Ovis aries: one gene and its partners. The protein of the gene in region 1 purifies or fractionates together with the protein of each later gene. This does not show direct contact. Links are inferred from orthologs where the notes say so. Each region holds a gene or a part of one and is shown in the gene's direction. Other genes may lie near its edges.

Evidence for each region. The genes of interacting proteins can lie anywhere in the genome.
Region 2: the proteins of MIA2 (region 1) and PREB purify together in Homo sapiens (affinity purification with western blotting; 3 studies listed by BioGRID and IntAct, with this or other methods). This does not show direct contact. The link is inferred for Ovis aries from reciprocal best matches to the Homo sapiens genes MIA2 and PREB.
Region 3: the proteins of MIA2 (region 1) and MIA3 purify together in Homo sapiens (affinity purification with western blotting; 6 studies listed by BioGRID and IntAct, counting the BioPlex papers as one, with this or other methods). This does not show direct contact. The link is inferred for Ovis aries from reciprocal best matches to the Homo sapiens genes MIA2 and MIA3.

Annotation. Positions count from the first base shown.
Region 1 is NC_056071.1:46,982,601-46,986,409, forward strand, and holds part of MIA2 (melanoma inhibitory activity protein 2), read left to right. Parts: intron 1-794; coding exon 795-917; intron 918-2,136; coding exon of another isoform or gene 2,137-2,148; exon of another isoform or gene 2,149-2,382; intron 2,383-2,530; coding exon 2,531-2,651; intron 2,652-3,809. UniProt on the Homo sapiens protein: Plays a role in the transport of cargos that are too large to fit into COPII-coated vesicles and require specific mechanisms to be incorporated into membrane-bound carriers and exported from the endoplasmic reticulum.
Region 2 is NC_056056.1:34,211,584-34,216,167, reverse strand, and holds the start of PREB (prolactin regulatory element-binding protein), read left to right. Parts: upstream 1-1,550; 5' UTR 1,551-1,753; coding exon 1,754-1,888; intron 1,889-2,663; coding exon 2,664-2,856; intron 2,857-3,043; coding exon 3,044-3,264; intron 3,265-3,453; coding exon 3,454-3,534; intron 3,535-3,634; coding exon 3,635-3,759; intron 3,760-3,965; coding exon 3,966-4,139; intron 4,140-4,269; coding exon 4,270-4,342; intron 4,343-4,532; coding exon 4,533-4,584. Other genes in the region: PRR30 (proline-rich protein 30), read left to right, coding at 1-270.
Region 3 is NC_056065.1:25,332,908-25,337,483, forward strand, and holds the start of MIA3 (transport and Golgi organization protein 1 homolog), read left to right. Parts: upstream 1-1,542; 5' UTR 1,543-1,567; coding exon 1,568-1,700; intron 1,701-4,560; coding exon 4,561-4,576.

The DNA of each region.
Region 1 (3,809 bases):
GTAAGTAGTTGAAGAATGTTAAAGTCTGTTATTTTACTTTAAAGCCCACGTTTTAAAAGTTCTTTGAAAAAAGGAGCCCTTCCTCCCTTCCCTCCTTTCTTCATGACACTCCTTCTTCCCCACCACCTCATTTTTCCTCACTCTTCCTAGCAACACACTGCGTTGCATAATATTTATTAGTGGTGCATGCGTGCTCAGTTGCTAAGTTGTGTTGGACTCTTTGGAACTCCATGGACTCTAGCCCACCAGGCTCTTCTGTCCATCGCATTTCCCAGGCAAGAATATTGGAGTGGGTTGCCATTTCTGTCGCCAAGGGATCTTCCCAACCCAGGGACCAAACCCAGGCCTCCTTCACTGGCAGGCAAATTCTTTACCACTGAGCCACCGGGGAAGCCTATTTATTAGTGGTGCACCTAGGTATATATAAATAAGTGCATCTGCACCTGAGTTTGATGCAATAATATGAATTACTTCCTCTTTTTGTGAGGTTCTTTTAATGATACACCTTATATACATAAGTGTGAAAGTGAAAGTCGCTCAGTTGTGTCCAACTCTTTGTGACCCCATGGACTGTACAGTCCATGGAATTCTCCAGGCCAGAATACTGGAGTGGGTAACCTTTCCCTTCTCCAGGGGATCTTCCCAACCCAGGAATGGAACACAGATCTCCCGCTTTGCAGGTGTATTCTTTACCAGCTGAGCCACAAGAGAAGCCCATGAATAAGTGTACCTGCATATAAATATGATGAGATAATAAGAGTTGCTTTTCTTCTTCTTTGGGGCTTAAATTTTAGCTTTTACAAGAAGCTGAAGAATGGAGAGAACAAGTGAATGAGCTTAATAAACAGAAAATAACATTTGAAGACTCCAAAGTACATATGGAACAAGTTCTGTGTGATAAAGAAAATCAGATTAAGGTAAACAGCCCTGCTAGTTTAATGACTGAGTTAAGCTAAAACTTTATACTAATTTTGAAATATAAAAAGTTTTGTTTTTAGCAGCTTTTATTTTGAGGAGATGTACTTTTTGGCAAACATTACTAGTTGTACTGTGTTTTTATCCGTGTTGCCAAATGTTCTTTGAAAACTTGTAGATTTGTAGTGTGTATACACACATACACACACACACACATTCTCTGTGTCCTTTTTTCTTCTCTCTTCTGTTTTAGCCTAGATATTTAATGAAGAAAGACAAAAGATTTTGGATTTTGGCTTTTATCTTAAGATTGCCATCTTTTTTCTTAATGAGAAGAGTTGGAAAGAATTTTATAAATTGGACAAATGAAATTATATGCATTGAATATAAATATGAATATCTTTAATGCCTAGATTAACTGGTATATGTACTTTTACAGAGATGAATATTTTAAGTAAATCTAATTGTACTTTAACTCCATTAGGAATAAGATAATTGGTATTACTGTTATGATTTATTGATTTTTTCCTACTTCTTATCTCTCCCTTCTACCAGTTTTTCCTGCCTACACTTTTAAATCTTAATAGATACTCAAATATTGTTTATTGTATTAACTAATAAGATGTACAACTAACATTCTGTAACCTGCATAGTGAAGTGGATGATGTCATCTTGAAAGCTATACATTTACACTATTTACTTCACTACTAAGGATGTTTTTGGGGCTTCCTCAGTGTCTCAACAATAAAGAATCCACCTGCCATTGCAGGAGACCTGGGCTCGATCCCTGGGTTGGGACAGTCCCCTGGAAGAGGGCATGGCAACCCATTCCAGTATTCTTGCTTAGAGAATCCCATGGACAGAGGAGCCTCTCTAAGAAAATTCAAAAAGTACTGTAGCAAAACCTCTGATGTTCCAACTTAGATTCTGTTTTACAATTTCTTTTTCTATTTGTCAGTTGTGTCAGTTGATTCCCTCGGCTAGTTGTTTACTTGAATAAATTGAATCTGTGAAATCTCTTTTTTCATATATCATGTACGTTACTTGGGGATTTGTTTAACTTCACACAAAATTTACTCTCACGTTAATGACTACTCTTACTGTGGCTGGTGAGAAATACCATGTAAGAAATATTTTGTTACTGTATAGTCATGTGGTACGTTTAGAAAAAATGGGCCATTACTAGGTATTATATTTATTTGATTTGGGCTTTCTTCGTAGCTCAGACGGTAAGGAATCCACCTGCAATGCAGGAGACCTGAGTTGGAAGATCACTAGAGAAATGAATGGCTACCCAGTCCAGTATTGTTGCCTGGAGAATTACAGTCCATGGGGTCACGAAGAGTCGGACCTGACTGAGCGACTGACACTTTCAGTTTTCACTTTTCATATTTGATTTAAGAGTAACCAGTTGTTATTTTTAACTTGTACACCTTAATAGTAAATAAATGTTAGTTTCTGAGAGCATTTACATATTTTATGCTGGGTAGAGAGTAAGAGCTCATGTACTTTTATCTGTGTGGATTAATTTTTAGACTACGGTTGTGCATTCAGAGGTTATAAAGCCAGCATAAGGCATTACCCTCTTTTGTTTCCCCCTTTGGTAAATGTCAAGTCTCTGACAGAGCGCTTACGAAAGATGAAAGACTGGACTGCTGTGCTTGGTGAAGACATTGCAGACGATGATAACTTGGAATTGGAAATGAAGAGTGACTCAGAAAATGATGCGTACCTAGGTATTAAGTCATAACTCATCTTCTTTTACTGAAAATGACGACTGGCTCTGGTATATCCTTTTAGTTCCCCATGTGCTGTTATAATACTCTTTATATACTTGTGTAACATTCTTTTCCTCTCTCACTATCCCTCGTGGTTTTGTCAGCTAGGATAGCTCCATTTCAGTAAATCTGTCTTCAGCGCCTCAGATAGATAGACTTTCAGCCTTCCTCACCTCTGTTCTTTTTGTGTGTTGTACATCATAGCAGTCTTTGGCTTCCCTGGTGGCTCAGTGGTAAAGAATCTGCCTGCAGTGTGGGGACTCACCTGCAATGCAGGATACGCATGTTTGATCCCTGGTTCAGGAAGATCCCCTGGAGAAGGAAATGGCAACCCACTCCAGTATTCTTGCCTGGGAAATCCCATGGACAGAGGAGCCTGGTGGGCTACAGTCCAAGGGGTCACATGAATCGGACATGACTTAGCAACTAAACCACCACCACGACCATAGCAGTCTTCATACTGCGTCATAATTCTTTCCATGCCTGTTTTCCCCTGTACTGTAAGCCGATCAAATGGATGGGTGAGTAGTTGGAAAATTGAGTGTTATATAAATGAACGCCTTAGGATGCATTTTTTTAGATTCTTCATATGGTGACAGTACTTTAATTTTGACCATCCCAAAGTCTATTGCCGTTGCTGGTTGCAGTATGAAAACTCAGCAAAAGTTAGGTTCCCTATAGCCACTTAGTATATTTTCAGAACAGTTCTTTTGACTTTAAAAAAGAACATCTTGTTCTTGTTTTGATATATAGACTCACAGAAGACTGTAAGAACAGTACAAAAGAGGTCTCAGGTATCTTCATTGAGTTTCCCCCAATGATAGTTTCTCTGACTTTTGTAACCTTTCTCTTTTCTCTCCCTCCGTCCTTTATATCAGTAAAAAATGTGTTAAGGAGAAGGAGTGATTTTTTTAAAGAATTTCTTTCATGATAACATTAATGTCTTGGAAGAAAAGTACGCTCCAAAGTAAATACATATAGTTCTGTTTGTACTTTTTTACTTCTGCTTTATCTTGTAATTAGTTATTATGAGAAAGCTCATGGTTAATGTTATTTTAATTTGGAATATAATTCTGCTCATATTTTGTCTGATGAGGAATTCTAAGAATAATCGAA
Region 2 (4,584 bases), on another chromosome or scaffold:
CCTCAGGCCAAGGCTGCTCAGGCCAGTGGGTGTCAAGCCCAGGTAGCTCAAGCCCCAGTAGCTCCGGCCCAGGCAGATCTAGGGCCAGGCACCCTCTCCCAGAACGGGAGCCTCAGGTCTGTAGGCCGCCAGTCACTAAACTCCACAAGCCATTCAGGGTCTCTAACTCAGGCACCAAAACAGGCTACGGTCCACTTGAAGCCCAGGCCTTCCTCTGCCCCAAAGAGACCTGCCTCTCCAGGGCCCATTCCCCAAAAGTCACCACTCTAGTTCTAGAGCCACGGAGGCCCCCTGGAGCACCTCCTCTGAATCCCACCAGCCCTGCCCGGCCCCAGACCTCAGGGAGCCCCCGAGACACTCTGAAGGGCTGGCTGGCTGGAGGTCAGGTGTGTTCTCCAGTCCTGAATCCTGGGAGCCCCTTGTGGAGTCTGCTTTCTCCTGGCTGAAGAGGACCAAGGGCATCTCAGGCCCCACTCAGCCTTCTGTGTATCCAATTAAAAAAAAAAAAAAGCCTGACCCTGCAAAACTTGTGTTTGAGTCTTGCTGAGCAGATCTGTGGGTGGCTCTACGTTCAGGGTGACCAGAACCCAACAAGGGGTGCAGGAGAGTCAAAGTTAACAGAATGGTCAAGGAGAGTGCATGCGGTATATCTGAAGAGGTCAAGGGACCCACAAGACCTGAGCAACTGAGAGGTGCAGAAGGCTCTGCCAGGCCCTTCAAACATTTAACTCAATTTGGTGGGACAGTTAATGGCATCCCCAGAGATGAAGCCACTGGGCCCCCTCCTCTGATTGCACCTCAGATTAACGAAGACTCATGCTGATGTCGCCAGGGGAGCAGCAGGAGGTGTTTCCTTGAAGGGAAGGGTTCACTTTAGAGAAACAGGGAATCCCCACATTGGATGGAGATCAAAAACCCAAAGGCCCTCTCAGGAGGATGGGGGCTAGGCAGAGACCTTCAACTGCCTGAGGGCCAACTTGCCTATCTACCCATGAACCCTGAGGTGCCTGGACTGGGTGGGGGGCATAGAGAATGGCCAGCCCCAACCTCTGCAAACTTCGGAGGATTGGTGTTCATTATAAAGAGTAGCTTCCTCATACTAGGAAGCAGTGGCATCGGGATTTGAAGCCAAGTTTCTTTTCAAGTCCATGCTGCCTCCGTTTAAGAGGCAAGAGAGCCAGGAGTGTGACCTTGGATGAATCACTTTGTCTCGGGGCGGGGCGGTAAACGTAGGGCTATTGCTTGACGAGTCTGCAAGTCACTCTTGAAGTGTGGACAGCCCTGATCCGAGGATTTATTAAAGGCTTATTAACCTCCCTTAATCTTTTGGCCTGCCCCCGCCCCAAGCCAGACGTTTCCGTGAAGCGGCCGCCCGCCTCCACCGCCCCGCAGAAACATGGCGTAGTCTTCTGCCATCATCTGAAAGCGGAGAACGGAATTCATACACCCCCGTTCCGCCAGCCACAGGCTGGCTAGTGCTGACGCGTATCGGCGGCTCTGCGCCTGCGCGAGGAGAGCGGGCTTGGTGCGCCTGCGCGCTGCGCGTCTGCGAGACCGGGTTAGACGGCCCCTGGCAGTGTTAGGGACACTTACGGTGTGATTACAGTTTCGGCAGCTCGGCGGGTGAGAAGGGTCTGGAGTCTTCCCGGCAGCTACCGGACCAAGGTCCACAGCGGCCGGGACAGCAGTCGAAGGCCGGGCGCGGCATGTCCCGGGGACCTCGGCGCCGACAGTGAAGCGCGCGGCGAGCGGGATGGGTCGGCGCCGGACGCCAGAGCTGTACCGGGCCCCGTTCCCGTTGTACGCGCTTCGGGTCGACCCCAGCGCGGGGCTGCTCATAGCTGCGGGCGGAGGAGGTGCCGCCAAGACCGGCATAAAGAATGGCGTGGTGAGTATACAGGCCCGCTGGGGCCGGGTCTCAGAGCGGGCTGAGGGCGATTCCCGGAGGTCTGGGAGCGGGCCGCACCCCTGCTTCGGACCCTGCCCCTCCCGGGTGGGAACCGCGGCGTGCCGGGCGTCCCGGTGCGAATTTGTCTTGAACCATTCACTGGTGAATTGAGAGGCTCCTAAAGTGAAAACTGCACACAGCGCTGCCTAGGCAGGAACGCTTCAATTCGATCTCAGGAATCAACTCCAGGGATCGTAACCTGGCTTTCTTGGGGAGGCTACATAAGATTTGTCTGTCTGCCACTGGTAGCGGCGAGAGTGAAATACAAGCTAAGATTCTTCACTCTTTTGAGAGTTATCATGTTGTTCTGCAGACTAGATGTGATAATCCCAGCCTTGCTTGCTGTACGCAAGCAAGTGAAAAAAAGTGAAAGTGATAGTCGCTCAGTCGTGTCCGACTCTGCTACTCCATGGACTGTAGACCGACAGGCTTCTCTTTCCATGGAATTCTTCAGGCAAAAATACTGGAGAGGGTAGCCATTCCCTTCTCCAGGGGATCTTCCCAACCCAGGGATCAAACCTGGGTCTCCTACATTGCAGTAGATTCTTTACCGTCTGAGCCACCAGCGAAGACCAGTACACATGAGTGAGGCTCAAAAAAGAAAAAAGTTTGGAAAAAGTCTTTAAACTAGAAAATGCAGGTTCAGACTACAGGATGTAAGTTTGCCCTTGAGGTGCTCTCTGAACCTTACTTGTCCTGGTTCCCTCTCCCACAGCACTTTCTGCAGCTGGAGCAGATTAATGGGCGCCTCAGCGCCTCTTTACTACACTCTCATGACACAGAGACACGGGCCACCATGAACTTGGCCCTGGCTGGTAACATCCTTGCTGCAGGGCAGGATGCCCACTGTCAGCTCCTGCGCTTCCAGATCCATCAGCAGAAGGGCAAAAACAAGGCAGAGAAGGCAGGTGAGAGCCTCCCCGCTAGCTTTGGGCAAAGGGTTAAATTAATGAATTCTTGCTCATCTTGGTCTCTGAAGAAGTAGGGCTGGAGGTGGGATTATGGTAGCAAGAGAGAAGCTGATGTTCACCACTGGAAAGGGCCAGTAGGACTTATTCTAGAAGCCTGGAACCTGGCAGGCTGTTTGTGTTGCAGGTTCCAAGGAGCAGGGGCCTCGACAAAGGAAAGGGGCAGCCCCAGCAGAGAAGAAGTCTGGCGCTGAAACCCACCAGGAGGGGGTGGAATTCAGCGTAGAGAATTTGCACGAAGTGCAGACAGACTTCAGCCGTGATCCACTGCAGAAAGTTGTGTGCTTCAACCATGATAATACCTTGCTTGCCACTGGAGGGACAGATGGCTGCGTTCGTGTCTGGAAGGTGTGGTTTGGGGAGGTAGAGGATGAGTGTCAGTAACAGCAAGGCCAGAATTGTGAGAAACTGAACCTGGGTCCTGGGAAACTTGTGAGTAAAGCCTGCACTCAGTGGCCATTAGTAGAGAAGAGGAGTGGGTATCATTTGCACTCTTGCCGGGTACGTAGGCTGACTGTGGTGGTGGTTTGGCTGCAGGTACCCACCTTAGAGAAGGTTCTGGAGTTCAAAGCCCATGAAGGGGAGATTGAAGACCTAGCTCTGGGGCCTGATGGCAAGGTGAGGAGGTGAGAGGGTGGAGAAAGTAGGTGATGATGCTGCTTGTCCAGTAAGTGGATCCCCCTAACTGTCCATCCTTGGAATCTTGATCCCTGACTAGTTGGTAACTGTGGGCTGGGACCTTAAGGCCTCCGTGTGGCAGAAGGATCAGCTGGTGACACAGCTGCACTGGCAAGAGAACGGACCCACGTTTTCTAACACGCCTTATCGCTACCAGGCCTGCAGGTGTGAAGACCCCAGAGGGTGGCTGAAAGAGGCACAGCCTAGATGTGGTGGGGGAGTGGGAAAAGGATCAGGGGGAAGCTGGTGGGGAGGGGATCGGAGCCTTGTTGGGTGTTACCCCAGACCTGACCAGGGTACAGGAGGGCACAGACCTTTGAGGAGGGCTGGGCAGGCCCCGGGAGCTGAACAGCCTCTGGCTCGGCCCCCAGGTTTGGGCAGGTTCCAGACCAGCCTGCCGGTCTGCGACTCTTCACGGTGCAGATTCCCCACAAGCGTCTGCGCCAGCCCCCGCCCTGCTACCTCACAGCCTGGGATGCCTCCACATTCCTGCCCCTTCGGACCAGGCCCTGTGGCCATGAAGTCATCTCCTGCCTTAGTGTCAGGTATGAGACAGTGGTGGCTTGGCTGGGTATGAGGGTGCCCGGGGCAGCCCGGGGAGACATGCTGCCCACATCCCTGGAGACTGTTGCTGCTGCACAGGATTCCAGGACAGTGAGCGTTTTTTTGTTGCAGTGAATCGGGCACTTTTCTGGGCCTGGGCACGGTCACTGGCTCTGTTGCCATCTACATAGCTTTCTCGCTCCAGGTAATGGATGGACCTGGGCACAGCCCTGAGGGCTCTCTGGGGTAGAGATTCTAGGCCTTCTTTTTCACTGAGTGTGCACGAAAGTGTCGGGCCCAGCCTGTAGAGGGAAAGTCTGGGGGCAGAGGGTGTGTTTTCCAGAAGGAATCTTCCAAACTGGGCTTTCCCTCACTAGCTTTCCTCTTGTCCCCAGCGTCTGTACTATGTGAAGGAGGCCCATGGCATTGTAGTGACAGATGTGGCCT
Region 3 (4,576 bases), on another chromosome or scaffold:
CATCTTATGGCCCCTGTAGATAAACAACTGTGAACTCTTTCTCGTCTTTTTCTTTATCCAACATTATGGTTTGCATAGATGGACCACATTCTTTCCCCTTGCTTTTAAGGAATCCAGTCAGTTTGGGAAACTAATTAATGGGTTTGATTGGCATTTGGGGTTGGTTGATGATTAGCCTTGGCAGAGACTATAGAGAGAAGCCCCTGGCCATAGACAAATGCAATATCTTCATCTTGAAAATGAAGGCAGTAATAGGACCTACTATTATTGTGAAGATTAAACACATTGATACCTATAAGGACTTTAGAATACCACCTGGACATAAAGAAAACACTCAACAAATGGTAGCCGCTATTAACTAGCTTTTCCTTCCTAACAACTTTGGCTCCTTGTCGTTTTGATGTGAGTTGGTTTCTCCTGAATTGTGGGCTTCTTTAGACAAAGGCCTGATATCTTGTCTGTTGATCTACATGTTTGCCTTCACCACACTAGTGTTTTGTCCAGCGTCTGGCCTAAAATGGTAGCATAAAATGGAATTTCTACATATTGGCATTGAATTAAATTATTCTCCCCTTCTGGATAAGAGCTTCTCTGCTGGCTCAGACGGTAAAGAATCTGCCTGCAATGTAGAAGACCCTGGTTCTGTCCCTCAGCGGGGAAGATCCCCTGGAGAAGGGAATGGCTACCTACTCCAGCATTCTTGCCTTGACAGTATCCTTCTTGGACAGAGGAGGCTGGCGGGCTACATTCTATGGGGTCGTAAAGAATCGGACACGACTGAGCGACTAACACTTTCAATTTCTTATGGATGAACCCCCCAGAATCTGAAGATCTAAGCATGGGGACCCATTGCCCACCTCCATCCCTCAGGGCTAGGGGACGAGGGGTGCAGAAAAAGGCCAAGCAGGCCACAGGCTCTAATGTACATCACCGACCCATCATTCTGCTGACCCCTCCTTTTCCCATAAGGAGATCACAGGATGGGGATGCTCCCCCAAACTCCTGGGAGTCGGAAGAGGGAATCTCGAACTGGAGACTAGCAGTGGAAAATCGTGGGTGGGATTTGGTAGTTAGGAAAAAGAAGTATCAAACCACGAAGGGGAGGTGAGGATGAGCCAGACTGAGAAGGACCAGAAATCGGGAGCTGCAAGAAAGGGGTCAGAGAAGACCTGCTGTTGGGATGGCGCGGGGTGGGGGGTGCAAGGTGGAAGAGCAGAGTGAGCGAGGAATGGAGTCTCGCGGAGGGTCGGCGACGCAGGGACCGAGGCAAAGGCTCGCGATTGGACGAGGAAGAAGAGAGAGTCCCGGTTGCCAAGGCAGCCACCCGACGAGGAGGCCTCGGCAAGGAGGTGGGAGCGCGCGTCCTCCTCCTCCGGGACCCCCGCGGTCCCCTCCCCGAGGCCGCGCTGACGTGTCGGTGGCGGCCTCACAGGCCGGGGCGGGCGCCGCCCCTCCCGCCGCCGCGCGTCCGCCGCCCGCGCGCCCCGCCCCGCGGCCCGTGCTCCGCCCGCCGGCGCCCGCCCCGGCCGCGTCCTCCGCGTCAGCGGCTCCGCGGGGCGACCACAACATGGCTGCGGCGCCGGCGCTGCTCTTCTGGCTGCTCCTGCTCGGGCCGCCTCGGCGGGTGCCGGGCCAGCCGGAGCAGGGCCCCGGCCGGCGCTTCTCGCAGCTCAAGCTCTGCGCGGACCAAGAATGCAGCAGTGAGTGCCGGGAGGGCGGCGGCGGCGCCCGGGCATCGCGGGGGCGGGAGCGCGGCCGCCCCGCAAGCCGACCCGGGGGGCGCAGGCCGGGAGGGCGGAGCGCCGGCGGCGGGGGAGGGCGACCTCCGGGTCCCGGCGGCTGCCCCTCCCGCTCTCCGGGCGCCCGGGCCAGCCGGCCTCGGCGGTGGGGGGGGGCGGGGGTCTCTGCCTCCCACTTGTTGCCAGCCTTTCATTTTTCCTTCGCGGACGGAGGCGGGGGATGGTGTGAGGGGTTCGGAGGTGGCCCCCGGTTTCCCCGGGGGCCGCTCGCAACGTCCCCTCCGCCGGCTCGCCCCGGCTCCGAGGGGAGATGGGGTTGCGCGCCGCGCGCCCCGGGCTCCGCGCGCTGCCGGCGAGCGCTTTCCTGCCCCCGTCGCCGGGTCCTCGCTGGGTGCAGTCCGGGGGCGGATGCGCCGGGACTCGGTGGGCGGCTTCCCTGCCGCAGGTTGCTAGGGCTGGGAAAAACCTCCCTGGCGCAGCCCCTTCGCCCCTCTGCTTCAGTCACAGTCGGGGCTCGGACCGCCTTTTCAGCAGGGATTGGAGTTGAGGTTTGGGACGAGCCCGGAGTCCAGGCATGCTGTGTGTTCCAAGGTCTCCTCCCCGGCTCTTCCTCAGTCCTGTCATTTCTGTGCTTGGAAGGCTCCCGCAAATAGCCCGGAAGGAAGGGCATCGGGAAGGCCAAAATCTGTCTCTCGAAAGAGGACGAGACTCAGCGTCGGCCACCTGGTACCAGTCGTCTCTAATGCGCAGGAAGCGGAATTGTTCCCTAACCGCGAATTCGCGGTGGGCTGGTGATAGTGAGAAGGGCAGAGATCCCCAGACTCAGATGAAGAAGATTGTTAAAGTGAAAATAATAAATACCCCAGGGGTTTTATAAATCCAAGCCAGCTTGAGCCTTGATCAGTTACATTGTTGGGCTCTCTTCCTGTGTGTTTGCCTTGGGCCCCTATCATCGTCGTGGTCTCAAATAACCTTGTAACTTACTGACAACCATTTCACACAAGGTTGTTCATGTGTTGTAATCAGTGCATATAGAAAAACATTCCTTCTGAGGCCAAAGCCTACAGTTTAGCTATTTAGATTGAAATCAGTGTTATTCAAAAACAAATTTCACAATCGGAAGAACCGAAGCACTGCCACATCATTAGGGGAAAGAAAGGAGGCAGTCTTGGATCTGTTTAAGCCATTCCTAGAGGTAACCCTAAGACTGATGTAAATAAATGTTACAAAAGTGGAGCAACTTCCATCAGTTTTTCCTGCAGTTTTCTCAGAGTAAGTCCAGGTTATTAGCAAGCAGTGTTGGATATGGCCAGTGTTGGCTATGCTTTGCTTTCAAACACTGTCTTGCCTGGGTACCTCAAAACCAGTCATCTGGAAAATTATAACATCTCTAATGCTTCGTCAGTATGGAGACATGGTGTTAGAAGGGCCCATGGGTGTCACATAATTGGAGAATGGCATGTGTCCAACAAGTGTAGCCAAAGGCAATAGCCAGCAGCTAGAGCAGGCCTGGGTCCCGTGTTGTTTTACATAAAGTGTTTGTTTAGTGAGGTGTGTCCATGTTAGCTGTCCTTGTGTGCCTTTCAGATAGCTGCCCCACAGAGTGCATTATGTTGTCATCTGATTTATTATTATACCTCTGCAGTGATCTTCCTCTTTCCAATTCTGATAGGATCCCCAGTCTCTATCAATTTAAAAATTGTCCATCACCTTCAACTTTGCCTCTCACCTAATTATATCTGAATTAGAATGCTGACATGTATTAAAATAATCAGCTTCAAAGTCCAAATAACCCCCTTTAAATCTGTGTTTGTCCCTCAAATATGTATGTAAATATACATCTTAAGGTACTTATTGCCAGTTGGCTTTTAGAACAAGTGTTATTTCCGTTTCATCCTTCCCTTTCTCTGCTATTTAATTGCATTTGTTATCTCATTTGACGAAGTGTGAATTTGGCCAACAAAAAGAAAAATACCGCTTCTATCAATTTCTAGATCGAATATAGTTTAAGTCCTGCATGTTAAGACTGAAGGTAACTACTGGACAGTTCTCATGGTTTTGCTTGTCCCTGCTACCTACCATTTTGCTTATAGAAACAAAGCCTGTTTGCCCACTTTTGATTTTGTTTATAGAAATAAACCTCCTTAATGTTGGATATATTCAACATTATATGATTTCAGAAGATATTATCTTATGTGATTGGATCCATAATTGGGTATGATATCCTCTCTCATTAATTTATCCAGATACTGACAGAGCAGCTTGACTGCAAGTGAAGTGGAAGGTGTTTACTGTTACACAGTAGCAGTTACAACCACTTAAAGATAGGGCCTTTTAGTGGTTAGTTCAAGTTAATTGACCTCTTGGGGGTTCTTGGGTGCTCTCCCCAGTTACCTGTTACCACTGCATGTAGTCATGCTCACACTAGTCGCATCTGTGCTTGAATTTACCCAACTGCAAAATGAAGCTTTTTATAATTATGAAACAGCAAAGACTGAAAGCTAGGTGATTAGAGAGGGAACCAAGAGTTTCACTTGAGACCAGCCCTGTGTGGCAGTGGACGCATTGCTTTTTGTTTGCATTATCCATAGAGAAAAACGCGTTGAGTTTACCTCTTTCCTGCCTACTTGCAGGGGGATGTCCTGATTTATAACGATACAGCTCTATAGATGCTCTGAGCATATGAGTTGAGGCTGATTGGTTTCAGAGAGTAATGGAGAAGCTTGATTGTTGTTTACAGTGGATTGTTATGTTTCCTGATAAATCAATATTTGAAAGTTGAGTCCTGATACCCGCTTTTTTCCCCCCTCTTTCTATACAGTGCTAATGTACCGGGG